Elephas maximus indicus: one gene and its partners. The protein of the gene in region 2 purifies or fractionates together with the protein of the main gene of each other region. This does not show direct contact. Links are inferred from orthologs where the notes say so. Each region holds a gene or a part of one and is shown on either strand. Other genes may lie near its edges.

Region 1 (7,713 bases), on a different chromosome or scaffold from region 2:
GAGGCATCTAATGGGGGTTTCTTCCTTGGTAAATAACTTTTTTTTCTTTTCTGTCTAGAGTAGGAGTTTGTAAGATTGCTTTCTATATCGTTAAAATTCAGGACTTTCACCGATAATATCTAAGAAGTGTGTTTTTGAAAAAAACAACTAAAAGGGCACACCAGCTCAGGGGCAAGGACTAGAAGGCAGGAGGGGACAGGAAAGCTGATAACAGGGAACCTAAGGTTGAAAAGGGAGAGCGTCGACATGTTGTGGGGTTAGTAACCAATGTCAGAAAAACAATATGAGTACTATCTGTTTAATGAGAAGCTAGTTTGTTCTGTAAACCTTCATCTAAAGTACAAACAAGAAACTGCCTAGGACACAGTGAGCCCTTTACAGTCACATTCACAATTCTTTCTTTAGGAAAGTTTTCTTCTAGTATTTCTTTAATTATTATTTATGTATCAATTCCCCACCTCAACTCCAGTTTCCGTAGTGACAATTATTTACATACCAAGTATTTTCTTCTGTTAGACATAGGGTCACTGTAAGTTGAAACCAACTAGACAGCACCTAACAACAACAAGTCTCCTGGGGAGCCCTGGTGGCGCAGTGGTTAAGAGCTTGGCTGCTAACCAATGCCTTCAATGCAGCTTGGACTTCTTCCTTCAGTACCGTCAGTTCCTGATCACATGCTACCCCTTGAAATGGCTGAATGTCGACTAATTATTTTTGGTATAATGACTCTGTGTATTCCTTCTATCTTCTTTTGACGCTTCCTGCGTCATTTAGTATTTTCCCCATAGAATCCTTCACTATTTCAACTCGAGGTTTGAATTTTTTTCTTCAGTTCTTTCAGCTTGAGAAACACTGAGCGTGTTCTTCCCTTTTGGTTTTCTATCTCAAGCTCTTTGCACATGTCATTATAATTCTTTACTTTGTCTTGAGATGCCCTTCGAAATCTTCTATTTAGTTCTTTTACTTCATCATTTCTTTCTTTTCCTTTACCTGCTCGATGTTCGAGAGCAAGTTTCAGAGTCTCTTCTGACATCCATCTTGGTCTTTTCTTTCTTTCCTGTCTTTTCAATGACCTCTTGCTTTCTTCATGTCTGATGTACTTGATATCATCCACAACTCATCTGGTCTTCGGTCGTTAGTGTTCAACGCATCAAATCTATTCTTGAGATGATCTCTAAATTCAGGTGGGAAATACCCAAGGTCATATTTTGGCTCTTGTGGACTTCCTCTGATTTTCTTCAGGTTCACCTTGAACCTGAACAATTCATGGTCACATCCATTGTTGGCCCCTGGCCTTGTTCTGACTGATGATATTGAGCTTTTCCATCCTCTCTTTCCACTGATGTACTCGATTTGATTCCTGTGTGTTCCATCTGGTGAGGTCCATGTGTATAGCTGCCATTTATGTCTGTGAAAAAAGGTATTTGCAATGAAGAAGTCGTTGGTCTTGCAAGATTCTATCATTCAATCACCGGCACTGTTTCTATCACCAAGGCCATATCTTCCAACTACTGATCCTTCTTTGTTTCCAACTTTTATATTCCAGTCACCAGTAACTATCATGCATCCTGATTGCATGTTTGATCAATTTCAGACTGCAGAAGCTGGTAAAAATCTTCAGTTTCTTCATCTTTGGCCTTAGGTTGGTGCGTAAATTTGAATAGTAGTTGTATTAACTGGTCTTCCTTGTAGGCATATGGGCATTATCCTGTCACTGACAGCATTGTACTTCAGGATAGATCTTGAAATGTTCTTTTTGACAGTGAATGCAACACCATTCCTCTTCAAGTTGTCATTTCTGGCAGAGTAGATAATATGATTGTCTGATTCGAAATGGCCAATACCAGTCCATTTCAGCTCACTAATGCCTAGGACATCGATGTTTATGTGTTCCATTTCATTTTTGATGATTTCTAATTTTCCTAGATTCATAATTCGTACATTCCATGTTCCAGATATTAATGGATGTTTGCAGGTGCTTCTTCTCATTTTGAGTCATGCCACATAAGCAAATGAAGGTCCCGAAAGCTTTACTCCACCCACATCATTAAGGTCAACTCTACTTTGAGGAAGCAGCTCTTCCCCAGTTGTCTTTCGAGTGCCTTCCAACCTCAGGGGCTCATCTTCCAGCACTATATCAGACAGTGTTCCACCGTTATTCATAAGGTTTTCACTGGCTAATTCTTTGCAGAAGTAGAGTGCTGGGTCCTTCTTCCTAGTCTGTCTTAGTCTGGAAGCTCAGCTGAAACCTGTCCTCCCTGGGTGACCCTGTTGGTATCTGAATACTGTTGGTATAGCTTTCAGCATCACAGCAACATGCAAGCCCCCATAGTATGACAAACTGTCAGACACGTGGGGAAAGAGCAGGTTGGACCTTATGTGTATGATCCACCTACTTCCATGCAGTCTTAATGATTTAAAGTCCCACTACCCCAAGCATGGAAACCCTCATGGTGTAGTGGTTAAGAGCTATAGCTACTAACCAAAAGAGTTTGAATCCACCAGGTGGTCCTTGGAAACCCTATGGGACAGTTCTACTCTGTCCACTCTACGACAACGGGTTTGTTACCCCAAGCATAAGCTTTGGCCCGAGATAGACAAATGTCACTGGTTTTTTAATCTTTGACAAGTAATTTAGATTTTCTAAATTTTGCTTTTCTCAGCTGTAGGGTACGACTAATAAAAATCACCTCATAAGATTCATGTGAATATCAGTTAAAACAATGTTTGTGAAATTACTTAATAGTGCCTAGCACATAATAGGCATTCAATAAAATTTCTCTTTCTACTCCCGTCTCTCTATCCCCATGCCATCCACATGTCCCATAGCAGGTGGTGAGAGATCGGGGAGCTTGGGATTTGGATACTTGGTCCCTATAGTATGTCTCTGCAGAACTTCTAGCTCTCTTCCTTAGCCACTGCTTTCTTGATTTTTCTCCTACATACACCTTCCTCTGTAGCTGAGCCAATTAAAAAAGAATTTGGCATACACTAGACTAATTTATGCTCACATATCTTTAAAAAGTTATATATGGTTTCTATGGACTGAGTTATTGTGCCCCAAGTTTGTCTTGGAAGAAGTGCAGCCCGAACGCTCCTTAGAAGTGAAGCTGGTGAGACTCTGTCTCACATACGTTGGACATGTTATTAGGAGGGACCAGTCCTTGGAGAAGGGCATCATGCTCGGTAGAGGGTCAGTGAAAGAGAGGAATATCCTCAAAGAGACGGATTGACACAGTTGCTGCAATGATGGTCTCCAGCATAGCAATGATTGTGAGGATGGGGCAGGACTGATGTTTCGTTCTGTTGTACATAGGGTTATTATGATTCTGTACTGACTTAACAGCACTTAAACACAAATTATTGTGCACTGTTATGTGTTAGGAACTGTGACAGACACTGGAGATTGAAAGAATGGTGAGCAAACAGTAGACATTGCTTCTACTTCTAGTTTAAGAGGGGCGATAGATATTAATCTAATGATCTCACAATAGAACGTAAAATGGAATTCTGATACATGGTATAAAACAGAGGTACAAGGTGCCTAAAAGAATAAATACTAGAATTTTAAAGGTCAATCCTTTCTTACTGACATGTTTTCCAATGGTCTTCCACGTCATTATATTCTATAATTGTCTAATTAATTTTTTTGATGTTTCTTTGTAAGTTGGACAAAACTCCTGGGACATTGCTTCCAAAAGACCCTTATTAATATTAACCTGTAACTGGGTGAAAAGTTTGGGTGTAGAGAGATGGAGAAGGCTGCTAGTGTTGTCCTTAGGATTTTCCTATTAATTAATACATTGGAACTAAGTATTTTATCAGAATGGTTTAGATACTTCAACTTTAAGAAGATAAATGAGGGCTGGCTCTGAGCAAATGAGTGGTAGAAAAGTTGAGTTCAAAGAAGCTTGTGAACTAATGGCGGTCCCAATCCCTAGACAGATAGAGGCTACACGGAACTCAAAGCTAGGGTGCATGGATGACCCCAGTCAGTATATTAAATCTTCAGCAGGAGGGATGGTGGTTTCATCAAACCGGGGAGGGATAATGTCAAAGTAAAACACTTCACTTTACAATTTTATCTATGTTGGGAGTTTACTTAAACCATCTCAACTTAAATGTTCACGGCCCCTCGTTAGGTGCAGTCCGCCTGAAAGGCAACACTACTTTTGAACTCTTGGTAATGCATAAAAAAAAAAATGCATACAGGCGACAAATTAAGGGGAGAAATGGGTGACAAGTACTGAATTAGGGAGTTTGTTAATAGGAAACTCCTCCGGAGAGACAATGGGCTAGGGTCACTCCAGCCCTTCGTCCAGTCCGATCCTTCAATTGCGACCTACCTGTTCAAAAAGTAGTATTGGTTTCCGATAGCCGCCGACCGTCCTTGCAGGCGAGCTAACGTGGCCATAGCGCCTCGGCTCCGGGTTTATACCTGGTGTTACTACCGGTCTCTATGGCAACGGGGTAAACCATTAGGCCAGTCCCGGGGGTTCAACTTTTCTTTCACGCCTCTGCTTTTTCACTTTTTTTAGGCTTCAAAAACACTATAAAGATCACTAATAGCTTTATGTGAAGGACAAGGTTTAATTTAACTGCTCGCGTGTCTTCTGTGGGCAACACGGGGCGGTGGAGCCGAGGGGAGGAGAAGTAATGGTTGCTCCGAGCATCCGGCTTCCGCTGCCGCCGCTTCCGGAAGCCGCTCCGAAAATGCGCCGCTGCCCCCCGCGAGTCGCCGGCGCTGCGGCGGTTGGAGCCTGCTCTCGGGCCTGAGCCTCCAGGCCGGGCCCCCGGGTGTCGTTAATGTTCGGGGCCGCCGGGCGCCAGCCGATCGGAGCTCCGCCCGCCGGGGACAGCTGGTGAGGCTGGCGGCCCCGGGGCGGGCGAGGAGCGGGCGCGCTGGCCGGAGGCCGCCGACCCGGCCTGGCGGGGAGGGAGTGGCCGTGGGCGACCTGGAGTCGCGGGCCTGTCCCCACCCGCGCCCGCGCCCGCCCAGCTGGAGGCAGGCGTCCAGGCGTGGGCTCCGGGCTGGCGAAGGAGTACAGTCCATGCTTGTCCTGCTCGATGAGCACCCTGCGCTGCTTAGGGGCGAGGTTCCTCTCTCCGTGGGGTGTGCAGCACCTGGGCAGGAGAAGTGTGAACCCCTCGAGCTGGCCGTGTTCGCCCGCTCCCCCTTTAACACGGACCAGGTCGGGCCCGGTATCCTGGGCGATCAAGTCTGGAAGAGTTCTGGACGTTTAGTAGTGCGAGACATCGCCCTCTCATGTCCTTGTTTTGGGAAGGGGTCATCTACCTGTGTCCACCCCCTTAAACCAACCATTCCAGTTCACATGTGATGTCTCTGGGTGTTCCCGAAACTTTAAAACACACGAATATCAGAATTATGTTTGGGGTTTGACTTCATCTATGATATCACATCATCAGTGCCGCTTCAACATGATACATTGCTTTGACTTACCACAGTGCTTTCACAAATTAATACACGTTATCTTTACAGCGACCCTGAGATAGCAGGTTGTCACAGGCGCAGAATACTTCAGTCATTGGCATAAAGTTTCCCTGTGTACTTTATTGTCCTAGAGCTAGAAGCTGGTTTGGGGATTTCTAGTTGAAAACTGTGATGTTGCCTGTCTTATTTTTTTCCACCCCCTTTTCCTCCAAGCGTACACAAGACAAACAGTGAAACACAAGCAGATTTCCCACTGACAATCCTCTGACATAATGCTTTGACTAGCAGTTGAAAGGTGGGCTAAAAAGTTCATATCCACTCCTGGACTCCACAGAAACAGAGGGTGGGGAGAATTCTAGCAGTCTGCAGCCTCAATTTCTTTTGCTTCACCTATCACTGAAAAGTCAAAAGGATTTCTTGCCCCAAATATTTGGAAATGGATCAGATCATCCTGCATTTATTTTATGATGCGTATGGATTCGGTTATGTTCCTTTAAAAAAAGTTTTTCAATGCATAGTTCTTAAGTGTTTAGTTTGGTTAGTTTTGGCAGTTCTATATACTTGCGTATAAATCACCATACAAAGCAAGATATAGGATATAATCACCCAGGAGATTTCCCTCTTTAGGACACCTTTCTTGATGTTTCACCATTCAATATCTTGTTAAGAGAAGGAGACAAAATGTGCTTTGTAGCTGGGTCTTCTCTTGCTGTGGTGGTTTTGGTTTGACGCAGCTTCCTCTCCCTCCCTCAGCTGCTACCCTCTATACCTCTTTTAGAGTGTAGAGAAACACTTCTTCGGTCCTCTTTTTAAAAGCCTGTCCCCTTTCCTTTTCAGCATACAACTCATATTGGGGCCCCAGAATGTAACATGGTACCTAGTACTTTATCAGCGTTTTCGAATGAAACTCTTAAAATCATATCTACTTTGGCAGGGTGAATGTGTTTACTGGAATCTTTATTTTTTTAGTTTATTTGCACAACTGTCCATTCATTCAAAATTTGTTAATGAAATTCTTTTTCATTCATTGAGCATTTACTATACCATACATGTATGTTTCTTCCCAGTGGTAAAATCCCAGCACCAATGGGGATGTTACTACTTAGTACTTGGTGCCAGGTTTTACATCCTTATATTATGTAAATCTTTTGAGGTAGGTGCTATCATTATTTGTATTTTACAGATGGCGAAACCAGCCAAGGATGGTTTAAATAACACAAAAAAAGTGTCATATTTGCAGTATGATTCCGGTATGGTATACCTACAAAAAATTCTTAACCACTGTTGTATACTGTGTGTCGGAGTAATGTACAACCCATCAAGAAATAACACCCTAGAAAGCAAATGTCCAGATTTGTAAACTGACACGGAGTACCCCCATCTAGGCTTCTTCAAATTTTTCTCCAGCGTGGAGGATAGGTTTTCACATTTTAGGCACCAAATGAGTAAATGTAGATGATTTTATTTCTTATTTGAAAAATCAAAACTGGTATTTTATAGTTAAGAATCTAAGAAAGAAAAATATTATGCAATTAAATTATAAAAATCTCATAGTATGTCAGGAAATCAATATATTTTCTGTGTAAGTTAATCTTATATATGGTTCACATTATGTTTTTATTAAGAAAATGTTATGGTTTGGAGAGTGTCTGTACCTCCTTCCTATCTTCTCACTCACACGCATTTTAAGGCAGGGTGCGGAAAGTATCTGTCTTGGTACTTCAGACATTAACCTGCCTTTTAAAATTTGGCGCATTTAATGTACAAATCACATCTAGAATTTAGATACTCGGTTCCTTATTACCTTTTACTTTATTATGGGTTTATTTTTCAAGTCAGTTTCTGATTTCTTTGACTTTGAAGTCTCAACTAAACAAATTAAAAACAATAGTCCTTGGTTATGAAAATGTTGAAACATTGACGTATTGAATTGTAGTATTCTGTGTATTTAACATTCTTAAGTGGCTTTTTTTTTTTAAAAAGCCGCTGAAAGTAGGGTAAACCACATTGCTCTGGACCTCTGTTTTTGCAGTTTCATTCTTATTTGGTATTTCAGTTTTCTTTAGGTCTGGAAGGCTGGTAATTGAAAAACATCCATTTTTTTAAGTAGCTTTTTTTGTTGTCATCATTCAATTTTGTACTGTTGGGATTGCTTGAGTCAAGTTTCTGTTTCAACGATTAGGACTCAAACCAAAGACCGGTATGAGCTGGGGCAAGTTACTCATTCATCTTTGTACAGCTTCTTAAATAGCATCATTATT
Region 2 (7,876 bases):
TACTTAACCAGACCCTCGGTCTGGGATGTTTCATTTGCTTCACATTTTTCACGAGTAAAAACGATGATTTTTGTGATGGACATCTTTGGGCCTTTTAGGAGATATACTGAATCAGAAAGGGGTTAGGAAAATGGACTCGGTTGTTGTCAGAAAGACCTGAGTTCAATTTCAGGCTCTGCCTCAAGTTATTAGCATCACTGGAGCCTTGGTTGTTTCACTGGCAAAAAGAAGATCCGTTCAACAGCTCTGACCTCATAGCATTTTTTAATAACAGCATCATTGAGATGTAATTCACATACCATACAACTCACCCATGTAAATTGTAAAATTCCATGGGTTTTAGCCTCATAGGGTTTTTGTAGGATCCAAGGTCTTGGTGTCAGGAAGAACCTGGCACACCAGACATACCGTAAGCACACAAATTGCCATCGCTATTAATTTTTTGTTTATAAGTTACATTATTTTCTTATATTCCTAAGAAGCAGTAATACAGGGTCAAAGCCTGTGAGCCTGTCAAACCTTTTGGAAATAGATCTTACGAAGATACAAGGTATTCTGATTGAGGGTTTTTTGTTTCTATTTGTTCAGTGTTTGGATAGAATTGGGAGAACAGGTGTTAGTATGAAATTGTTGAGCTATTTGACCCAAGATGTCCTCTTTTATTCCCTGTTGTGTAATCCTGAATTATGTGCACCCCCATACCCGACACAGAGTATTTGGGGGAAGTCAGTTCTGGTCCCCTGAGTTCCCTGCCCTGCAGGACAGCCAGCTCTCCCCCCCTACCCCCCACCCCCCACCGTCGGCAAGGGTTGCCTTGTTACCACTGCCAATTGACCATCCTAGCTCTGGCCAAACTGGCTGCACATCAGGCAGGCAGGAAGGAGAGGCAGTGTGTCTCCACCAGTTCCATGGAGCACCCAACCTACTTACTAACAAACCATAAAAACATATTCCACTTGGCCGTGGGAGGGCTGCCTGCTGATTTCAGGGTGAGTTAGTGAGCGTTAGCCAAATCCAGGAGTGTGTTGCACCAGAGTGGTGTGTGGGTGAAATCTCAGGTATCTTGGCAGGTGTGGGAGCAAGTTATGTGACATGGGTGTGGATTAGGTGGTGAGGAATGAGAGGAAGGTGCAGGGAGGAGGGGTGGGGTCAGAGGTGGGCGAGGGTGGAGGCGAGGGATGGGGCCCCAGCTGGACTGAGCATAGTAGTTAAACCTGTGGTTGGGAACCATTTTTGGGTCATGGCCTCCTTTGAGAATCTGATCGATGCTAAGGAAAGAATGCACACACAGAAGCTCATTCAGGAGCTGAAGATTAAGAACCTCTGATCTAGACTAGTTCATAGGGACTTGTCAGAAAAAAATCCTAAGACTGCGTTACCGGTATGAAAATGTTTGTGCCATCTTATTCAAGAGAAATTTAAGAATGTTTGCATGTTTGCGAATTAAATTCCAAAGTCTACTTATTTCCTAAGGAGCCCTGGTGGCACAACGGTTTAGCGATTGGCTGCTAACCTAAAAGTTAGCAGTTCAAACCCACCCAGTGGCTTCGAGGGAGAAAGACCTGGTGTTCTGCTGCCTTACAGCCAAGAAACCCTTATGGGGCAGTTCTACTGTCATATAGGGTCGCCTTGAGTTGGAATCAACTCGACGGCGACGGGTTTTTTTTTTTTTTTTTTTAATGAGTCAGAATCGACTCGACGATACCTGACAACACTTATTTAATAAATGCTCTATTTTCTTCCAGTTTTTATTTTGAAAATTTTCAAGTCTATCAACAAGTTGAAAGGCCCTGTACTCTTATCTGCACACTCACCAATTATTTTCATTTCTCCCCAGTTCTGTTCCTGCCCCCTTGTGCTTATGCCTCCACTCTCAGAGATCCATGTTTTTTTTGGAGAACCATTTGAGAGTAAGTTGCAGGTATTACGATACTTCATCCCTAAACACTTGGCATATAACACCTAAGATCAAGGGATTTGTCTGTATATGCACAATTGTCACACTCACAAAATTCAGCCTTGATACAATATTATTATGTAGCATACTCTGTCACATGGAGTCACTATGAGTCAAGATTGGCTCAACAGCATCCAATGACAGCACTATATCCTGTACTCAAATTTCCCCAGTAGTGCCAATAGTGCCTTTTTAGCTGTATTCTCCCTTCCTTCCTCCCTCCCTCCCGCCCCCTACTTTTATCCAGTATGTAATTCAGAATCAAACCTACTTCTAGTTAAGTCTCTCAGTCTCCTTCAATCAAGAATGCTACTCCAGGGTTTTTTTTTCCCCCCTGTGACATTGATGTTTTTGAAGAGTCCAGGCCAGTTGCTTTGCAGAATGTCCCTTAGTTTGGATTTGTCTGATTGTGTTCTGGTAATTAGATTTAGGTCAACATTTTTGGCAGGAGTAATACATGGGTGATTCGTGTTCCTTCTGGTACATCACACCAGAGGGTCAGTTGGTTCTATTTTTGATGATGTTAGTTTGGTCCACAGTTAAGGTAGTGACCTCCTGGTTCCCTATTGTAATTCCTAAGTAATCTATGGGGTAACATTGTATTCGTGACAACCTTCAACTGTGGCAGACACTGGGTATGCCAGCCGTGAGCATACAGACGCAGTCCTTGCTCCCCTGCTGTTTGGACAGTGAAGGAGACAGACAATAAGCTAGGAAATAAATTAATTAAATATGCAGTTTTCTGGAGGATGTGGATATAGAGAAGTATCATCTCTAGATAAAGTAGTCTTTAAGGTGAGACTTGAAGAGGAAAAAAGATCCAGTCAAGGGAAGGCAGGGGTCAAGGGGGGTAGAGGTGGCCCCTGGCCAATCTTGGAGGGTGGAAGGAACTAAAAGATGGGCGTGTGGTGGTCTTAGGGAGGAAAAACTGAGAGAAGAAAGACCCTGGGACTGGAAATAATGATACTGAGTAATTAGTGGCTATGAGTCAGAATCGACTTGACGGCAATGGGTTTGGGCTTTTTTTAAAAAAAAAATCCTAATTGAATGGTAGCAGGGGTGGTTTAGTGGTAGAATTTTTGCCTGTCATTCAGGAGACCAGGGTTTGATACCTGGCTAATGCACTCATGTGCAGCCCCCACCTGCCTGTCATTGGAAGGTTACATATTGCCATGATGCCAAACAGGTTTCAACAAAGCTTTCAGGCTAAGATGGACTAGTAAGACAGGCCTGGTGATTTACTTCTTAAAATCAGCCCAAAAAAGCCCTATGGATCACAATGGTCTAATTCAAAACAAATTCTGGGGATGGGGCAGGACTGGGCAGCATTTTGTTCTATTGTACGTGGGGCCGCCATAACTTGGAGGCCAACTTGAAGGCAGCTAACAACAATAACACCCTTACTGAGCACTTAGTATCTACCAGACACTGATCTAAATGTTTTACAAGGTTTAATTTAATTCTTCCCATGGCCCTGTAAAGTAAGTGCTCTTGTTGGCTTTGTGCTGTCAACTCTGCAACATAGTAATTGGCCCAAGGTCACAGAGCTTTTAAGTAGCAGAACTGGGATTCAAACTTGTATTGATCTGACTCCACAGTCTGTGCTCTTAACTATACCACAGAGTAGCGAGCAGTGTCTCACCTGGAAAACAGAATGTGAAAAGGGGTTGGAGTCAGAACAGCTTTGGCTGGGTGAGGAGGTTCTGTGATAGAAGACATGGGATGGCATAGCAAGACAGAAGGCCCAGAAGATCAAAGAGAAAGGAGGGTTCCGAGGTAGGAGGCAACAGAATAAAATAGGCCAAAGTTTGTTTGATCCATCCTCAGTCATCCTAAACCCCTGGCCTGTCCCTTCAGGTCAGACCCTCACACCTTTTCTTGCTCTCCCTCCTCCCAAACTAAAACAGGTATCTTCACAGTCTCAAACTATCTCCCCACAAATCACTTATTAATTACATAGGGGAAAATAGTAACTTTACAGTGGAGTAACCTGGCAGGCACCAGCTCAACCAAGTGACCAAAGTAACCATTCAGAGGGTGTTCAGGGAAAGTTCTGGAAGGGAACTGGGGGAAAAGTGTATGAGAAAGGTCTTGTGAGGAAGGCTTTGGATGAAGAGACACTAGGTCTGCGGGTGACAGTGCAGGGTCCAGAGGGGGAGTGGGTCCTCTGGGGGAGATGAAGTGACCTTGGGGTGGGGGGAAGTTCTGGGTGGGGAGAAGGAGTCACTGGGGAGAGACTTTATGGGAACAGTTTGGGTGACAGGAGGGTAAGAATAGGGTCAAGTATAGGAGGCCTTGAGGTGGGGAAACTCTGGGTGACTAGAGGGTGAGGGCTTGCGGTAAGGGTCTCCAGGACAATTTTGAAAGGGTCCGAAGGCTCCAGGGCAGCAGTCCGTGGGTGGGGAACGTCCTGGGGTAAGCGCGTCAGGACACCTGAGCATGGGGCGATTTGGACCCGGGAGGGGGGCGGCGGGTAGCCGGGGGCGGGGCCGGCGCCGCCCGGCGGGTCCCCCCGCGCTGCAGGGGGCGCTGTGAGCCCGGGCGGTGCCTGGCCCGGCGGCGGTCGCTCCTAGCGAGCGCGGCCCCTTTTCCGGGTTTCCTCCTCCTCTCCTCCTTCTTCGCCGCCGCCGCTGCCCCTTTCCCGGCCGGCGGCTGCCGCTGCTGTTGCTACCGTCGCTGCTGCCGCCACCTTGGGGCCACCAGCCGAACCGAGGCCGCTGCGGAGCGCGAGCGCCGCCCGCCCAGCCACCCCGCCGGCCGCTCCTGGGCCGGGCCGGCCAGGCCGGCGCCCCCCGCGCCCCCAGCCCGTCCGCCCCCGCGGGCCCGGCCTGGCGCGGCCGCCCGTCGCCACCGCCGCCGCGCTCCTCCTCCTCCTCCGGCGCCCCGCGGCCAGCCGCCGCCTCCGCCCGCCGCCCCGCGCCCCCTGCCGCGCCGCCGCCGCTGCTCTCTGCGCCCAGCGGCGCCCCCCGGTCCCGCCCGCCATGCCCGGCCCGGCCGCGGGCAGCAGGGCCCGGGTCTACGCCGAGGTGAACAGCCTGAGGAGCCGCGAGTACTGGGACTATGAGGCGCACGTCCCGAGCTGGGGGTAAAGCCGCCGCCGTCCCTCGCCGGCCCCCTGGCTCCCCCTCTCCCGCCCGGCTCCCTCTAGCGGGGACCGCACTCGTCCCCCGGCGATTCGCCGCTCCGCCTGCCCCTCTCCTGGGCCAGCTCTTCTCGGGTCTGGGGTGGGAGCAGCGTGCCTCCTCTCACGCATGTCCTTGTCCCCGTTTCCGACTCTCCCTTTTTTCCCACCTTTGCGAAGAACCCGTCTGCCTTCTCCAAGGAATGCTTTCTTCCTGGGGAGAAGTACAGGGTGCAGGGGCTAGAGCCTATGGAAGTGAGGGGGCAGCCCTTCCTCCTCGCACCTTTGGGTTTCTGCTGGGGTTGGAACTAAACAGCTGTCCCCCTGAGCTATTAAAATTCTCTGCTTTTTTCGTTTTTTCCTGAAATGGAGATAGATGGGTGAGAGAAAAATTTTTAAGGACGTCCAGATTCTCAAAGTAGGCGCTGTCTACCTTGAGGGTGTGAAATGAAGCAGGAGCGAGGGAGCCAGGGCTAGAGGGGCACCTTGTGGTCCTCCAGGATGGATGCTTTGGTCTCCCGCCAGACTGGCTCAGAGCGGTGCCTTCCTCCCTCATCCCCCCAAGTTATCAGGGACTAGTTAGGAGCTCTGTGCAGAGTGAAGGGAGCCAGGTCTATGTTGTGGCTTTCATTTAGGGATGTGTCGTGATGTGATGTATAGACACTTCCAAGTGCTTGATTAACGGAAGAGGCTGGATGAAGTGTATAGTGGACGTAGGCTTGGTTAACCCAAGTCCTGGCATTTATGTGTGTCTTTTGCCTTTCACAGTAATCAAGATGATTACCAACTGGTTCGAAAACTTGGTCGGGGAAAGTATAGTGAAGTATTTGAGGCCATTAACATCACCAACAATGAGAGAGTGGTTGTAAAAATTCTCAAGGTGAGTGTATTATGAGGGGCGTTAAAAATACTTTTTTTTCCACAGGTCAAAAGGATAGCTAGCCACTGCAGTCACATCCTAGAATAAGCAGTGCTGGCTCTCATTTTGCATATCATTTTTTGTCCGATGTCCCTCACTATTCCTTCCATCCCATTTTCCTGTGAATTTCCAAGAAAATATGCAGACTGATCTCAAATCTAAACATGATAGTTTAGGAACCATCCTTGATCTGAAATTTAAATTATGGGCTCCCAAAGCAAAAAATTCCAAAGGGACTCCATTTATTACGAAGTAAATGGATGTTCAGAGGAAAGAAAACCTTTTTCATGAGGCACCCATCAATCCAAGGGCAGCTGGAGCTTTTTGTCACCCTTGGTGCTCTGAGTTATTCCAGAAAGAACACTGGAAAAAATTGGAGCCACTTCAAAGATGAGTTTGAAGCTCAAGTGAAGGGAAACGCCTCAGTGGGTAGTCAAGTGTTTCTTCTACTTTAGTGGTAAAGTTTCAGGTGGGGTGGAAATGGTGAGCCAGTTATGCCGAAAAGGTTCATCGTTGTGTGTTAGCTAGTAAAAATGAAATTTGGAGCATAGGAGAGTGTATTTGTAATCACTGAGATGATAATTGGAACAAAATGGTCTTAAGATCTGGTTTAGTGGCATAAGTTTGATAACGATACACATTTTGTTATCTCATGAATGAAGACATTATCTTAATGAGCGTGAAGCATTGTCTAAACTTTCCTTTAGGTATGTGATCAGTTGTGTAGCTTTAATAATGTTTTACAGGGTGCACTGAAAAGTAACTCTTAAGATCTGTGATGGGCCCACATTATGGTCAGGTCATTTAATACCTGTACATACCATTTAGTGAAAGATTCAGAAGACTCAAGGGTAACATAAACACTTTACATACATGTAATTTCCAGTATGATCATTTTGCAAAGGTTTTGTCGAATAAGAATGTGAGATTAAAAATCTGTCTTAAGGGTAGTGGTAGCCCAGCTGTGTAGATAGTCCCTGTTGAATAGGAGGGGTCAGACTCATGGTGTCTGAAAATCACCTCTCGGCAAAGCGTTTGGCTCCATCACTCGGAACCATCCTAGTCTGGTGATGAAGGAGCAGAATAGCAGTAGAGAGAAATAGGCAGTTATTTGTGTTGTCAGAAACACTGGCGACAAGTTGATGTTAAAGGTGTGTAGTTGGACTTGCCTCTTCCCTAAATATGGGCTTCACCTAAAAAGTCACGGGTCCTTTTTTTTTTTTTTTTTTTAAAACAAATAAAATTTTCCCCAGAGGGGTCATCTGGGAAGCCATATAGTTTATTCCTTTATGTAGATAAGCCTAAATGTTTTTAATAAAAGCTGCTTCACATCTTTCTAGGAAGTAAGCAGGACATAAATTGAAATTAGAAATTTTCACATTCCACTACTATACATTCAGGAGAGTAAACTGCTGACTCTAAGGCAATTCTAGAAAAATGTCTAAACTTTTATGCAGTGACAGCACTTTTAGCATAAGCACGCAACCTCCCATGGTGTCCTTTTGAAAGAAATAGCAGTCAGGTGTAAGTGTAAATACCGGTGTGTTCATTTAGGACAGCATTACATTGCTCTTCTGTCGGCCTTCTAAAGAACTTCATAGGGCCAGTTGCTGGATTGTTTTTCCCCTGCTCTAAATATTTTCAGGATATGTTTAGGGAACCCAGTATGGAAGCTATAGGTTATTTTTACAAATGGGCAGCCTAGGCACAAAGAAACTTTTCTAACATCATTATGTTGAAATGACCCTTCACTCAAGCTCCTGTTCCCTATCTTTTCCTGTCTCTTACTGTTCTCTTTAGCACTGGTTTGTAGGGTCTTAACACTGGGCAGAGTCTTCTGGAGTAAAACTTGGGAGGCAGGCCCCCTTGATGCTCAAAT
Region 3 (7,180 bases), on a different chromosome or scaffold from region 2:
TAATCATGTCGTGCAACCATTAGCCTTAATCAATATCAAATTTCCCATCACCGTAAAAGAAACTCACTGCTTCCCCTATAAACCTTTATACAGGGCTTGAATAAATCTTTATATGGGGATTCATTCATCCCTCCAGCATTTTTGGAGAGCCTCCCGTCTGCCAGGCATTGGGGTGAGCAACACAAACGTGGCCCTTTTCCTCTTTGAGCTTACAGTCTGCACATAAGTGCAGGGGAATCTGACCAGTGCTAAGACAGAATAATTTGGGGGGCAGGGAAGAATCCTGGAGGAAGGCTTATACAAAGAAACCTGAAAGCTTTGACATGGAGAAAGAATTGCAGGAAGACCAGGGTAGAGGCAGTGAGGACAGTTAGGGGGCTGTTTGAGTTGGGACAAGGGATGATGGGAGCCTGGATGGCAGTGGTGTCTCTGTTCTCATGAACCACCTGTTTGAGGTCTGTCTTACCTTTGGACTGCAAAGTCCATGAAGGCAGGAACTAAGCCTGCCCTGTTCAGTGCTGTAAGCCCTGTACCAGTCTCTGGACCTGGGACATCATATGCAGCTGGTAACTGTGGACCTTAGCCTGTCTCTCTGAAGGTACATATATACCTTCATCACAGCGTTCTTGTAAATAACCCGATGAATGTGAAAGCACTTCGTACATTGTAAAAAGTGATACTTTGTGTGGTAAAAATATATAAAACAAAATCTTTGTCATTTCAACCTTTTTTACACATACAATTCAACGACATTAATTACGTTCATCACGTTGTACAACCATCAGTATGCTGTTTCCAACTTTTTCCCTCACCCTTAAGAGAAACTCAGTGTCTCCCAAGCAATGACTTCCCCCTTCCCTCTCCCCGCATATGGTAACCACTAATGAACTTTGGTCTCTACATTTGCCAAATTCTAGATATTTCATGTAAGTGGGATCATACAATATTTGTTGTTTTGTGACTGACTTATTTTGACCATGTAGTAGCATGTGTCAGGGCTTCATTTTTCTTTATGGTTGAATAATATTCTATTGTATGTATGTACCACATTTTGTTTATCCACTCATTTGTTGATGGACATTTAGGTTGTTTCTACCTTTTGGCTCTTGTGTATAAGTATGCGTTTGCATTCCTGCTTTCAGTTCTTTTGGGTATATGCCTAGGAGTGGAATTGCTGGGTCTTATGGTAATTCAATGGTTAACTTTTTAAAGAACCACCAAACTGCTTTCCACAGTGACTACATCATTTTACAAATCTACCAGCAATGGATGAGGGTTCCAATTTCTCCACAGACTGGCCAACACTTGTTTCTGTTTTTTCTTAAAAGTGATACTTGTTTTCAAGCTGTAAGATATTATGTTACAAATACGTATAATGCAATGCCTCTCGTGTGTCCTTAACAGCTCTTTTGTGTGTGTGTGTGAATCTCCCTCACTCCACTCAAACTGGAAAAAAAAAAAACCCAAAATATTTTATTAGATAACTTATCCAGTCATATATAGTATAAAAGTAGCTTAATTAGAAAAAAACCTTCATCATCCCGATTGCTTCCTTTTACCTACCACTTGCTAAGGAGCCCTGGGGGGCACAGTGGTTAAAGCGCTCGCTGCTCACCGAAAGGTCGGCAGTTTGAACCTACCAGTTGGTCCACAGGAGAAAAATGCGGCAGTCTGCTTTCATAAAGATTTATAACCTTGGAAACCCCATGGGGTTGGTATGAGCTGGAATTGACTTGATGGCAGTGGGTTTGGTTTGGATTTTATCATATTCAGATTACCTGTTTTCTACTAAGCAAGCATTAATCAACGACAAGTAATTATGCTTCATCCCTGGCCCAGGTTATGTGTCCCTGTGTGGTGTAAATGGTTAGGTGCTCAACTACTAGCCAAAAGGTTGGCTGTTCAAATCCACCTGGAGGTGCCTCAAAAAACATGTCTGGTGATATACTTTTGAAAGATCGCAACTTTGAAAATCCTATGGAGCAGTTCTACTCTGCACACATGGGGTCGCCATGAATCAGAATTGACTCCATGGCAACTAACAACAACAACCTAGCTCAGATTAGACCCTATATTGTCTCTCATTGTGTCCTTTATCCACCCCAGCCACCATTAACATCTTGAAAGCAGGTATCATACATTTCTTTATCCCCTGCATTTAACCCAAGAGTCCCTGGGTGGTGAAAATCGTTAATGGTGGGACACTGCTAACTGAAATGTTGGAGGTTAGAGTCCACTCAGAGGTGCCTTGGAAGAAAAGCCTAGCAGTCTACTTCCAAAATCAGCCATTGAAAGCCATATGAGCTCAGTTCTAGTCTGACACAGATGGGGTCACCACAAACAGGTTTGACTCAACGGCAATTGGATTTAACGTTATGCCTGTACTGGTACTGAGTACCTGCAATCGAATTTAATAGGCAAATTCATCCTGAAAGTTGACATTATACCTTTACTCTTTCAAAAATATGGTGCTAGATTCTAAATAAGTCTATTTAATGCACTTAACATAGCTATTTTATTACCAAATGCTTCACATACTTTAAATAATTTTACAGGGAAAAGGATCAGCGATGTAAAGATGCTGGATTTCATTTTACCTCCTGTTTTTCTAGTGTTTGGCTTGTTGTAGGTCTACCAAACAATGAGTAATAATTAACAAGTTCATTTTGCCATTTTCTTTGAGAGACGATAATGGAAAGGTAAGAATCTTGGAAAGCTTTTTCTTTTTCTGACATTTAGACAGGTTTCCTTTTATTTAATTCTTTTGCATCTCTTTATTGACTACTAAATAATTTTCTATCTACAGTGCTTTAAAGGAAGATTTGCTCTTATGTTTATCTCTTTAATTTTGACTTAATTATTACATTCACAAATGAGTCTCTTGATCTTGCGCCATAAAACTGTTCCTGTAGCTTAGTACTTGTTCGTTTTGTATCAACCCTTGGTGGGTCACATTTTTTTGGGAGTAAGCTCAGCTACATAGAGTAGTTTAAGCATTCCATAAGAGGAAGAACTCTCTGAAGTTAATTTTAAAATAACTTTTTTTTAAATTAATTTTTTTGTCCATGTCTGGATTTTCCAGTTTTCTTTATGGTCATAAATTAAAAGACCTCTTAGCTGAGGCAGAAGGATTGTGGGGGAAATGTTTTTCGTGTATGTACTGTGGTTTCCTCATTAAGGTAGTACCCCCTCATTAGTTCACATATCCCAGCTTACAAAATGTGTAATAAGTTTATATTAATTTATTCCACTGCTGCTTTCTGAATTTGCCTTCTGAACTCAGCTCAATTTCATACCAACGGCTTGAGAAATTAGATTCTATTTAAACGTCTCTCAAATTCTAGGTACGCTAATTAATTTTGGAACACTAAAAGTGTTAATCAATAGTAAAAGACTGTAGCAGAGAGCCTGTTATAAATGGATTTTTTTCACTAACACTCGCTTTCTTACATTCGTTTGTGACGTGCGCTCGGTAATAGCGACCACCCTCCCCTGTATTTGCAGACATTATGCAAATTTGTTCTGTTCCAAGGCTTTTGCTCTCTGCCAGATCGCTCTGTCCATAGACCCTTCCCATCCTTCAGGTCTCACCTCAAATCGAGGTGACTCCGACTTTTTTATTCTACCAAGATATGAAATAATCTTGCTTATTTGCTTACTTATTGCGTCCTCCCTTCCCCGTGCTTGTTCCTCACGGGGCAGGGCCGTATCACTTCCCAGGGGTCAGTAGCTCAATACATCCCGGTTAAACGAATTAAATTTAGCATTTCATTGAGCTAAGAGAACCCATTCCCTGGCCGCAGGGAGCCTTATTTATTTTAACTTTGTATGACTGCAGAAATGACGTTAAAAATCAATCTGTGCAGACGCCTGCCTTTTCGCCAGGCAGAAACTCTGACCCAAATTTCACCTTTCCCACCCCGATTCTCGCTCAAGGAGAGGGAAGGGACCTGAAGCAGGTGCCTAACGCCACTCTGCGAAGTCCGGAGGTAGCGCCGGAGCCCGCCGGCCTCGACTCCCAGCGCGCGCGGAGGACGCGGCCACAGCCACGTCAGCGGACGCGCGTGACGCCAGCGCGCCTGCGCGCGGGGAGGTGCGGCGCGCGCACCGAGGCCCGCCCCTACATCCGGGGCCTGGGCGACCGCGGCGGCGCCGCTTCGGGGTCACGTGGCTTCTTCCTTTCCGTCTCTGGCCGGCTGGGCGCGGGCGACTGCTGGCGAGGCGCGTGGAGCCCTGCGCTGGTTCCCCTTCGTCTCCGCTCCCGGCCCCGGGCCGCTACGGAGTTCGCTGAGGCCGGGTGAGCTGAGCCTGCCGCCAAGATGCCGGCCTACTTCCAGAGGCCGGAAAATGCCCTCAAACGCGCTAACGGTGAGTAGGGAATTGGGGCGGCCCGAGGCCTCGGAGGTCGAAGAACCGGGCCTGCTTCCCGCTGCTCCGCCCGGGCTGCGGCCGGAGACGAGGCCGACGCGGCCTGCCCGCCACCGACACCGCCGCGCCCGGGCAGGGTGTCCTCTTCTCGAGCCAACCGACCGGGGGTGGGAGGCGCGGAGCCGGGAACCGTCGCTCCGGGGCCCTTCGGCGCCCCCTCCGGCTGCTCCGCGGACACCGCGCTCCCGGAGACGGGCCCCACTCGGGCTCGACTTCCTTCCCCGCGTCGCCTGCGGCGGGCTCCGTGCGCCTCAGCCCGCGCCCCCGGCCGCCATCTGGGAGTGCCGGGCCGGAGGAAACATGGCTCCCTCCCGGGGACAATGCACGCGAGAGCCCCGGCTCCACCTCCCGCCGGCGCCGGGGGCCTGGCGGTGCCACCTCCGGCCCTCCCTCAGACTCGGCTGCTCCCAGACCCCGCGGCGGACTGCGCTGGGGCGCGGTCCACTTAGCTTCCCCCGGCCACTTTCTTCCCGACTCGGGGCGTCTGACCTACTTAACCTGGTTCTAGCTTCCAGGTGAAGATTAGGGCCAGTCCCAAACTTCGGAATCGCAGGAAGTTGGAACAGAGTCAGTACTGTTAAAGGGTTCACGTCCTCGCTTACAGACTGCGTCCTGAGGCCTAGGGAGAGAGGATGGTTGGCCCAAGGAAGCTCCAGGACTTAGTTGTTGAGCCAGGAGAAGAAAACCAAGGTCTCTTGACGTCCAGACCAGTCCCTTTTTCTCCAAAGCTCTGCTGCCTGGCGAGTTCTGTTTTCATACGTGTAATTTAGCCGCGGCCGCTTGCGGGAAAACTTGTGTGTGTCCCGAAATTAATTTTCTTTTCCGGAGTTCAAGTCTCCATCTAGTCAGGAAGCATTTACGTTGCCATTATGGGGGTGCATATGTATTTATGCACGTCTCTGCTCTTTTAAGAAAGTTCCTGTGTAGGGTTAATTAATTTTTAGGCGTTCGGGCGTCCGTAGGGTTTATTTCCACTTTTCTCCACCCAGACAAGCTTCCGATCGTGTCCATGGCTATTCCGTGTTTCTTACAGTTTCATGAGTTTGTTTGGAAATGCATCAGGTAAAAAGGTCAGTTTCAGTTAATAGGTAACACTGATACCTACTGATAGATAATCTGTCAAGACAGATTTGTGTCGGTCACATGCTTGTTTGTTAATAGGCTAATCCCACAGACTATAAAATAAAATATTTGTTTAAAAAAAAAAAAACTACAATTTGAATCTGACTAGTGGTCGTTTTAACCAGCGGCCTAATCGTTAGAACAGGCATGGAGTTTAAAGATGTCAATTTATAGGAGGTAAAGTAGATTTAAGTTAAAACTTAGCACTACAAAATTGTAGCAAAGCTTGAATTTTTTTTTTTTTGGTGTTTTGAAATTCAGAAGGACATAAAAAATTTGTATGGCATACAGAATTACTTAGATGAAATTACTGCTCGACGTTGCTGTTGTAGATTTGTTTTACAGTACTTTTTTTGTGTGCTTTACCAGCAGGTGTTCTCCACAGGCTGATAGATTGAAGCACTGTAATCTTAATGGCTTAAATATGACACATTTGGTGTGTTCAGGACATCTGCATTATTCCTCCTCTTTGAATCTTATGAATTTAATATTTTAGTAACTTTTAAGTTAGGAGAGCTATATAATTTATGTAAAATCTTGTTCTATTGACTGCTTTTGAAAAGGACTTGTACAGCAAGTTGGGGAGAGTGTCCAGAATTAAAGTAGGCAAGATGAGAAAAGGATATTTGTGTAGCTTTTGTTTTTTAAAATCTGTATTGACTCCTTTCCGCAGCTTTTTTAAGCTGCGGGAAGGAGATTTCTGTGGAAGAGATTCTTTTTTTTTTTTTTACCTTCCAAGTGGTAACTCCTGTCCCTTTGATCTTGTGAATGAGGGTTTCCTTTTCAAAGTCTCAAGGTGAGCACATTGTGGGTGAAGAAATCATAAGGCACTGCTTATAAAACTTTAAAATGGGCTTATAAAAGTACATTTCATTCAGTGGAAATAATTTTATGAAATTTTTTTTTTTAAATCTATAACATTTGTAACTCCAAGCATTTAGGCCCAAATTATTGCACTATCTTAATAAAATACAAACTTAAGTAGAATAGTCCTTAAAGCCTGTTTAAGTCTGTATATCAAAGCAATATTTCATTAAAAAGTTACAGTAATCATTCAGGAAGAGGAGAATTTGGCTCAGCAGTTACAGCAAACTCATACTCCACAATAAAATGAAGAAAGCTCCTTTTCTAGATTATATCCTTAGTATTGCTGAAGAGCTGCTCCTGACCCTATAAAAACCTTTTAGTTTGTACCCTACAACCAGTGATTTAAAAAATGATAAAGTTGTTATAAAGCCACAAATAGAGTAATGTTATAGCTTATTTACTTTGTCTGTTGCACTATTCGTAAACTAATAGATGAGAATGGCTGGCTTACCTATACTTTTTTTCTTATGGATACATAGTTTCAGTTATTGTATCTGAAAGGTAAATCAGAATGCCCACAGTCCCAGTAAAAAAAAACTAATAAACTGTAATTCCAGATTTAAATTTTTTTGTTTGAAGACTATCAATCTGGAAATCAGTGTTTCCTAAAAATATTGGAATAGGGTCTTTAGTGTATGTATGATAGTTTTTTTCTGGCCTCAAAAACTTTTCTTTCCTTCTAATTAGATAATTCTGACCAATTTAATCTCCTTATATGTCAATTAGGATAAAGACAGAAGACTCAAATCATGGATTATTGTGA
Region 4 (7,636 bases), on a different chromosome or scaffold from region 2:
CAAGGGGCCCTGCATTTTCATTTGTACTGGGCCCCACAAATTATGTAGCTGACCCTAGATACTATCATTACAACCATTTCACAAAAGTGGAAACGGAAGTTCAGAGAGGTTTAGTAATTCGCCCAAGATCACACAGCTGCCAAGTGTCAGAGTTCAGACATGAACTTGGATCTCAGATGAGACAGGATCCCATGATCTCAAAAAAAGAGCTTCAGCCCAGGAATTAGAAGACCTGGATCAAATTTCTGACTATAGCCCTGGGCAAGTTTGCTCCCACTCTGTGCCTCGGTTTCCTGAACAAAAGTACTCTGTGATATCTTCCAAGGTAGCACACGGTCTCAAGATGTGGCTTTGCCACTTAGACAGGCTATGACTTTGAGCACAGGGAAATCACCTTTGCCCACCTTCCGCACAGAGCTGATTTGGCAGATAATAGCACCCACTCTGCAAGACACTCTACAACATACAAAGCACTTGCATGCCCCTCCTAAGCAACAGTGAGCAGAAGGCTAGGCAAGAATGTCATTATCCCCATTTTACCTACAGGAAAGTTGGAGCACCAGAACTGGGAAGTGACTTGCTCAAGCTCACATAGGCCCCTTCTCTCTCCCTGATATATTCCACTGCATTTCAGGCAAGTTTGGAAAGATTAAGAGGACTCCACTGGCATAAGGTCATAATAAGAACACCCCCATATGAACATATGAGAAGATGGGTCACACCCTTGGAGAGTCCTGGGGCAGGGGGAGGGAGGGCTGGGCAACATGGGCCTCTCAGTGCAGGACCCCCAGCTCTGAGGGGCTTGGCTCAATCCCTGACCTTGAGGGTTCCAGGTCTGAGGGAGGAGGCCAGAGAGGTAACCAAGATCTCCTAAAAAAAGAGGAGGAACACCTGCCTAGCAACTTTCAAAGGGTGACTCAGTATCCTGTGAGATGTTTACCCAAGACAGGGTGGGATGGTATCTACACACCGATAGACAAACAGGCAGGCTGAGGAACTGAGGGACAGAACCAGCAGAAGCATCCCCTTAACTCTCGACTCTAGTCCTCAGCCTCCCCACCCACCAATAGTCCACTGGCCAGTCCTGGGAGAGGTCTCTAGCTGTGGAGAGGGCAGAGTCTGGCTAACCAGAAGCCATTGCAGCTGGGTGATGCATCCTTGGCCCTGCCTGGCTGCCCCGGGTTCCTCAGCCCCTGGTTCCTTCGGGGAAGATGTGGCATCTACACACAAGAGAGCCACAAGCCCAACCCAAACCTGGGGTTTCTCTACCAGTGGGACTGGCTGCCCTGGGCAGCCACCTCTTTTGCCTGGGGCTTCTGGTGACCACAAGATGTGTTTATATAGTGGTTCCTGAAGTCAGGGAACCGGGCAGAACAATCTGACCCAAAGGTTCTAGGTCCTCAGTCTCATGGGTCTTTGCACAGTTCACTTCCTCAATTCCTTCAGGCCTCTGATCAAATATAACCTTAACACAGAGACCCCACCCCCTTTTCTTTAGCCATCTCCTATCTCTCACCTGACACCATCCTCTCTCCTGTCCGTGCCCCGTCCTTACCAGAAGCTCTAGTACAGAGCTACCCAATAACACTTTCTGTGATGATAGAAATGTTCTTTTCTGTGCTGCCAATACGGTAGCCACTGACCACATATGGCTCTAGAGCATTTGAAATATGGCCACTGAGGAACTAAATTTAAATTTCTATTTAATTTTAATTAAGTGTAAATGTAAATTACCATGTGTGGCCAGTGGCTACTGTATAGACAGTGCAGCTGTAGAGACAAAAGAAGACAACAAAAACAGGACTGCACCATAATTTGGGGCTTCGAAAGCACTTACACAAGCATCTTCTTATTTGTCTGCCTGTAGAAATAGGTGTGTTTACTCCACTTTACAGAGAAAAAATACTGAGGCTCAGGGCAGTGAAATGGCTTCCAAGTTGACAGAGGTAGTAGGTAGTAGAGGCATAATCTAACCCCAGACCTCTTGATTCCAAAATGCCACTCATACCTCCATAGCACTCTGCCCACTTCCGTGTTGTTGTGTGCTATCGAGTGGATTCTGACTCATAACGACCCCACAGGACAGAGTAGAACTGCCCTATAGGGTTTCCTAGGCTGTAATCTTTACAGGAGCAGATCGCCAGGTCTTTCGTCCTGCAGAGCCACTGAGTAGGTTTGAACCACCCACCTTTCCATGAGCAACTAAGCACTTAACCACTATGCCACCAAAGCTCCTTCCCACTTAAGTAGTCATCACATATTTATTGGGTCATTGACACTAAGTACCTGCTCTGGGCTAGACAAGGTGAATTGACAAAAAGACATCTTGTCTGGTTAACTACAAGTCATTGTATCCTTGGCTCTGCCCCACTGCCCTGGGTTCCTGGTTATACATGTAAATATTATTGAATTGGCAGATGTTTTGTTATATATATTTTTACTACAATAAAAAAAATGTTTTAAGACAAATAAGATACAGGCCCAGGCTTTGAGTGGGAATTCCTAGGACAAAGTATAATTGCCCCCGTAAGAATATGGTATAAAAATTGCTTTGATTTTTTTCCAAGTAGCTGAAAGCACTTTGCTTTAAATACCATCTACATTTGATGGTTCCCATATTTACATTTGAGGTTCCAACTTCTGCCCAGAACCCCCAGCGTACATACCCAACAGCCTACTCCACATCACCCCTTGATTATCAAATTGGCTTCTCAAGCTTAACTGTTCACGACGAACTTTTAATTTCTCCCCATCCATACCAAACCAAAAACCCATTGCCATCAAGTGGATTCCGACTCAAAATAACCCTATGGGACAGAGTAGAACTGCCCCATAGGGTTTCCAAGACTGTAATTTTTTACAGAAGCAGACAGCCACATCTTTCTCCGGAGGAGTGGCTGGTGGATTCAAATTGCCAACTTTTCTGTTAGCAGCACAGCGCTTAACCTCTGTACTTAACTTTAAACCTGCTCATCTCCATCTCAGCAAGTGGCAATGCCATTCTTCTAGTTGCTCCTCCCCAAAACTTAGGTGTCATCTGTGACTCCTCTGTTTTTCATGCCTTTCATCTGATTTATCAGCAAATATTGTTAGCTCTACCTTCGAAAAGCATCCAGATCACTCACTACTGCCACTCTAGACTGTCATCGTGTCTAAACGGACTGTTGCAATAGCCTCCAGACTACTCTCCTTTGCCAGCCTCTCCACATTCAGTTTTTCATACAATAGTGAGAATGATCTTTTTAAAAACTAAACCAGAGCATGTTCCCCCTCAGTTTAAGCCCCACAATGGGCTCTCAAAGTCCTAACAGTAGTTCATAAGGCCCTACAAGAGCTGGCCCCTGATACTTCTCTGACTTCCTTTCCTAACACTCGGCTCTTTCAGGTCCAGCCACACCAGGTCTTCCTGGTCACCCCTTCCTGAGGGTCATTGCACAGTTCACTCCCTCACTTCCTTTGGATTTCTGATCAAATGTCCCCTTATTACAGGGCAGTCCCCATCCCCTTATCATGTTTTGATTTTCCCCATAATTAATTTTTTTTTGTTTGTTTTTAACGTTTAATAGAGGCCCTGGTGGTGCAGTGGCTAACAGATGGGCTGCTAACCAAGAGTTCAAATCCACCAGCTGCTCCTTGGAAACCCTATGGGGCAGTTCTACTCTGTCCTATGTAGGGTTGCTCTGAGTAGGAATCCACCCCACCGCAACGTTTGTTTTTTTTGACATTTATTATGTTTGCTTGTAGTTGCTCTCCTCCCTCCAGAGTTTAAACTGCAGGGATAGGGTTGGTGGAGAAAATACAGGGCGCCCACTTAATTTAAATTTCAGATAAACAATAAATAACTTTTTAGTGTATGTCCCAAACGTTGCATGAGCCAAAAAAAAAAAAAAAAAACCCACTGCTGTCGAGTAGATTCCGACTCATAGCGACCCTACAGGACAGAGTAGAACTGCCCCATAGTTTCCAAGGAGCGCCTGGCGGATTCGAACTGCAGACCTCTTGGTTAGCAGCTGTAGCACTTAACCACTACGCCACCAGGGTTTCCATGATCCATATTTATGCTTAAAAAAAAAATTGTTCGTTGTTTACCTGAAATTCAAACTTTACTGGGTGTCCTGTATTTTTATTTGCTTAATCCGGTAACCCTATGCAGAAAGACAGGGACAATGGTTGTTTCGTTCATTGCTGTATCCCCAGCGCTAAAATAGCTCCTGGCACCCAGTAAGCTCTCAATAAACATTTACGGAATGAAATGAATGTGTACAGTGTTTCGTTAATCTGAAACACGTCTAAACTTTCGGTAATAGCGAATCAGAAGGGTGGAGCCTCTAGCCTGGGTTAGCCCAGTTCACTAGTGAAGCAGTTGAGGAACTTTCGAAGCCTGCCAAGCAGCTGGATGTTTTCTTTACCCCGCCGCAGCTCTCCAGCGAACAAAACTCCGCCTAAGCTCTGGTGAGCCAAAGGTCCCAGGTGGCCCTCCCGGGGGCGGGGCCTCCTCTAACCGGTGAGCGGGGCCCAGACCTCGGCAGAGCCAGGGCCCCTTTAACGCCCCGCCTCCCCGCCACCACTCGGGCCCACGGGTGACGTCACCCGGAGGGAGACCAATGGGAGCGTGGCTTATTGGCAGGCGGCCCCAGAGGCTGCTGCCAAGGGGGAAGTAAGCCGGGGCTGGAGCGATGGCCCGGGTCTGGAGCCCGCGGCCGCCGCTGCCGCCACCAGCGCGTCGGGAGCAGCCGCGGCCCGAGTCGGGGCGGGGGTATGAGTCGCGGCTGCAGTGGGAGCGGTGCGTGTGAGTTGCCGAGAGTTGCCTGAGCCAGAACATCTCAAACTCTGGGCAGGAGCGCTTCAGGTGGGCTGAGCTGGGGTCACCCCTCAGCGCTGCGCCCCCCGGGCCCAGGCAGCAGGACTGGGTCTTCTCAGGCGCGGGACTGGCCCTTCTCAGGCCGAATCCCGGAGCCGGGCTCTGGGTCTTCCTCTCGTGGGCTCCCTTCAAACTCGGGACGGGGGCCGGGGAACAGTGAACACCCTAGACCAGGGCTTCCTGGCCCAGGCATTTTTCCGGCGCTTTCCAGGGCTGTGTCGGGGTGGCAGCCTCTAGAAGCCCCCTCCTGCCAGTTGTCCAGCCAGAGAGGGGTTACGCGCTCCTACTGTCTTCCTCTGCACTCCCCTCTGTGCTCATCAAAAACAAGCTTCTTTTTTCTCTCTATTGGAAATCCTACACTGTAGCTCCAAAACACTACCGGTGTGCCCTTCCCCAGCTCCTAGAGCACCCTTAGAAATACTACGGGCTTATCAGGGCTGAGAATCAGTCTTGATTTAGCTTTTCCTCTCTTTGGGAGATAAAAAGTTACTCTCTTTCCAGCCTTTTAACTAATTGATCTAGGGCCTTAACCATTTGGATCACCAGCTTCCTGGCTTCCCCTATGTGACTTACCCCACCTATCTGAGTTCCAGTTTTCTCTGGGCTCCAACTTCCAGTCCCTAGCGGATCTAGTCAGTCCCACCCCTGGGTGGGAGTGACTAGGGGGCTCCAGCCCAGAGTTCCCCACCCTGGAAGGCAGCTCCAAGGCACCCAGAGAATTGGGCGTAGGGTACGAACCTGGCAGCTCAGGAGTGGGTGCTCCACTCACCCCCCACAAGAAGATGAAAAAGCGCAAAGAACTCAATGCATTGATCGGCCTAGCTGGGGACAGCCGAAGAAAGAAGCCCAAGAAAGGCTCGGGCCACCGCCTGCTTCGCACTGAGCCACCTGACTCAGACTCTGAGTCCAGTTCTGAGGAAGAAGAGGAATTCGGTGTAGTTGGAAATCGCTCTCGCTTTGTCAAGTGAGTGAGGGGTGGGATGGGAAGAAGACATCTTTGCACTACCAAGGGGCAAATTTAAGAGAAGAAAAAAGGATATAAACCTTAGAAGGCAAAGAGGGAGAAAAGGTGTTAGGTAGAAGACAAGTACAGATCCTGAATGAGGGATAGATTAGGGATCTGTCTGTAAGTGTGAAAAGCTCAGAATCTAGGGTGAATGTGTGGACTTGGGGGATATGCCAAGAGCACAGGAAGTGCACGGTGGGAGAAGACATGCTAAGAACAGAGACATAGGGACAGAGGAGCTTTGGGGATAGGGTCTCTAAAAAAGAATGCAGGAGAGACGGGGACATTCAGACTGCGTATTACTTATTTTTTGCACTCCTAATGAACCTGAATCTTGGTAATGGGGAAATAGGATGCAGGACATAGTGTAAGAAGTATGAGCCCTGAGAGTAGATGAAGCGTGGGGACAAAAAGAAGAGGCAGCTTTTTCCTAAAACACTTTTAGATGGAGTGGCCACTGGACAAATCAAGTAGTAGTGAGCTTTAAGGACATTGGGAATGGGGCTTAGGGTATGAAAGAGCTGAAGGGGAGCTTTGAAAGTACCCTTGGACCCTTTCAGGGAGCAAGCAAGGACTAGGCAGAAGCTTGAGGTGCTAAAATCTTTTGTTTGAGGTATTTTTTTTGTTTAGAATGTCTGTTCTTTTATTTTGTTAAACAAAGAATTTGCTTTCTAAAGAGTTCTGTCAAGTTAGGTAGTTAAGGACCATCCTGGGTTTGGAGTGTGAAAGGCTGAGGAAGCATTAATCCTGAAAGTCACCCTACTGGATTAGTTCAGACCCTGAGTGCGGGTTGAAGTTTGGTGTGAAATCCAGCCCCTTTCTATGTTTCCTCTTTCTGAGCCAATAAGCTAGAGTGTATCAGATGTCCACTTAAACCAATAGATCGTATTTCTTTCATTCCATTTGCAGTAAAACTTGCTCAAAAGTTTGTGTAGTTTCAGTAAACTGAAACAGGGTCCCCTGGAATAAAGGCATGTGTGTCTGAGAAAGTGAAACAAATGGATGTAGGTAAATTACAGTACAGAGAAGCAATAGTCTTTACACTTTTCTGACCTGAGCGTCTCTCCAAAGACCCCCCTCCTGAATTTATGATGATGGCCATGAGCTGCAGTGCCCACAGGTGCTTCCTGTGGCCCACAGGAACTCCTGTTCCATGTGCAGTTTGAAACCTTTGTACTCGATAGATGAACTCTTCGTAGGTCGTATTATTTAGTCACGTTCAACCTGCAGTTCAGACTTAAGTGCATTACCCTATGCCCCACAGTAAGATTTAAAAAAAAAAAAAGATTAGGGAAGATAATTGCACGGCAACACATGCATACTATTTCTAATAAAGCTGCACTCGGAATCACTTCTGTACTCATAGTTGTATCTGTTCTTACAATCAGGGGAGACTATTTACGATGCTGCAAGATCTGTTATCCCCTCTGTGCTTTTGTCATCCTCGCGGCCTGTGTCGTGGCCTGCGTTGGCTTGGTGTGGATGCAAGTTGCTCTCAAGGAGGATCTGGATGCCCTCAAGGAAAAATTTAGAACAAGTAAGTGGTTACTCTTGCAGAGTGTAATCTTGGAATCTTTTCCAGGTCCTAGGATAAAGTGGACCAAATTGAATTAAATAAGCATTTCACCTAGTCTGATGAAGCAATTATATGTTGCTTCCATGTTTTTATACACTTTCTTAGCTGCCAGTTTGAATGCTTAACAGTTATTTGTTTTTAAACCCTCTAACAAAAAACAGTGCTTACGCACCATCAGGACAAATCACATCTG

The links.
Region 1: the proteins of CSNK2A2 (region 2) and GPATCH2 purify together in Homo sapiens (affinity purification with mass spectrometry; 6 studies listed by BioGRID and IntAct, counting the BioPlex papers as one, with this or other methods). This does not show direct contact. The link is inferred for Elephas maximus indicus from reciprocal best matches to the Homo sapiens genes CSNK2A2 and GPATCH2.
Region 3: the proteins of CSNK2A2 (region 2) and EIF3A purify together in Homo sapiens (affinity purification with mass spectrometry; 3 studies listed by BioGRID and IntAct, with this or other methods). This does not show direct contact. The link is inferred for Elephas maximus indicus from reciprocal best matches to the Homo sapiens genes CSNK2A2 and EIF3A.
Region 4: the proteins of CSNK2A2 (region 2) and EFCAB14 purify together in Homo sapiens (affinity purification with mass spectrometry; 4 studies listed by BioGRID and IntAct, with this or other methods). This does not show direct contact. The link is inferred for Elephas maximus indicus from reciprocal best matches to the Homo sapiens genes CSNK2A2 and EFCAB14.

What each region holds. Positions count from the first base shown.
Region 1 is NC_064842.1:6,778,468-6,786,180, reverse strand, and holds the start of GPATCH2 (G patch domain-containing protein 2), read left to right. Parts: upstream 1-4,695; 5' UTR 4,696-4,806; coding exon 4,807-4,862; intron 4,863-7,713. Other genes in the region: SPATA17 (spermatogenesis-associated protein 17), read right to left, coding at 4,347-4,414. UniProt on the Homo sapiens protein: Enhances the ATPase activity of DHX15 in vitro.
Region 2 is NC_064839.1:25,024,307-25,032,182, reverse strand, and holds the start of CSNK2A2 (casein kinase II subunit alpha'), read left to right. Parts: upstream 1-4,872; 5' UTR 4,873-4,938; coding exon 4,939-5,042; intron 5,043-5,846; coding exon 5,847-5,958; intron 5,959-7,876.
Region 3 is NC_064834.1:69,739,182-69,746,361, reverse strand, and holds the start of EIF3A (eukaryotic translation initiation factor 3 subunit A), read left to right. Parts: upstream 1-4,163; 5' UTR 4,164-4,319; coding exon 4,320-4,368; intron 4,369-7,180. UniProt on the Homo sapiens protein: RNA-binding component of the eukaryotic translation initiation factor 3 (eIF-3) complex, which is required for several steps in the initiation of protein synthesis.
Region 4 is NC_064821.1:89,340,790-89,348,425, reverse strand, and holds the start of EFCAB14 (EF-hand calcium-binding domain-containing protein 14), read left to right. Parts: upstream 1-4,626; 5' UTR 4,627-5,643; coding exon 5,644-5,825; intron 5,826-7,255; coding exon 7,256-7,404; intron 7,405-7,636.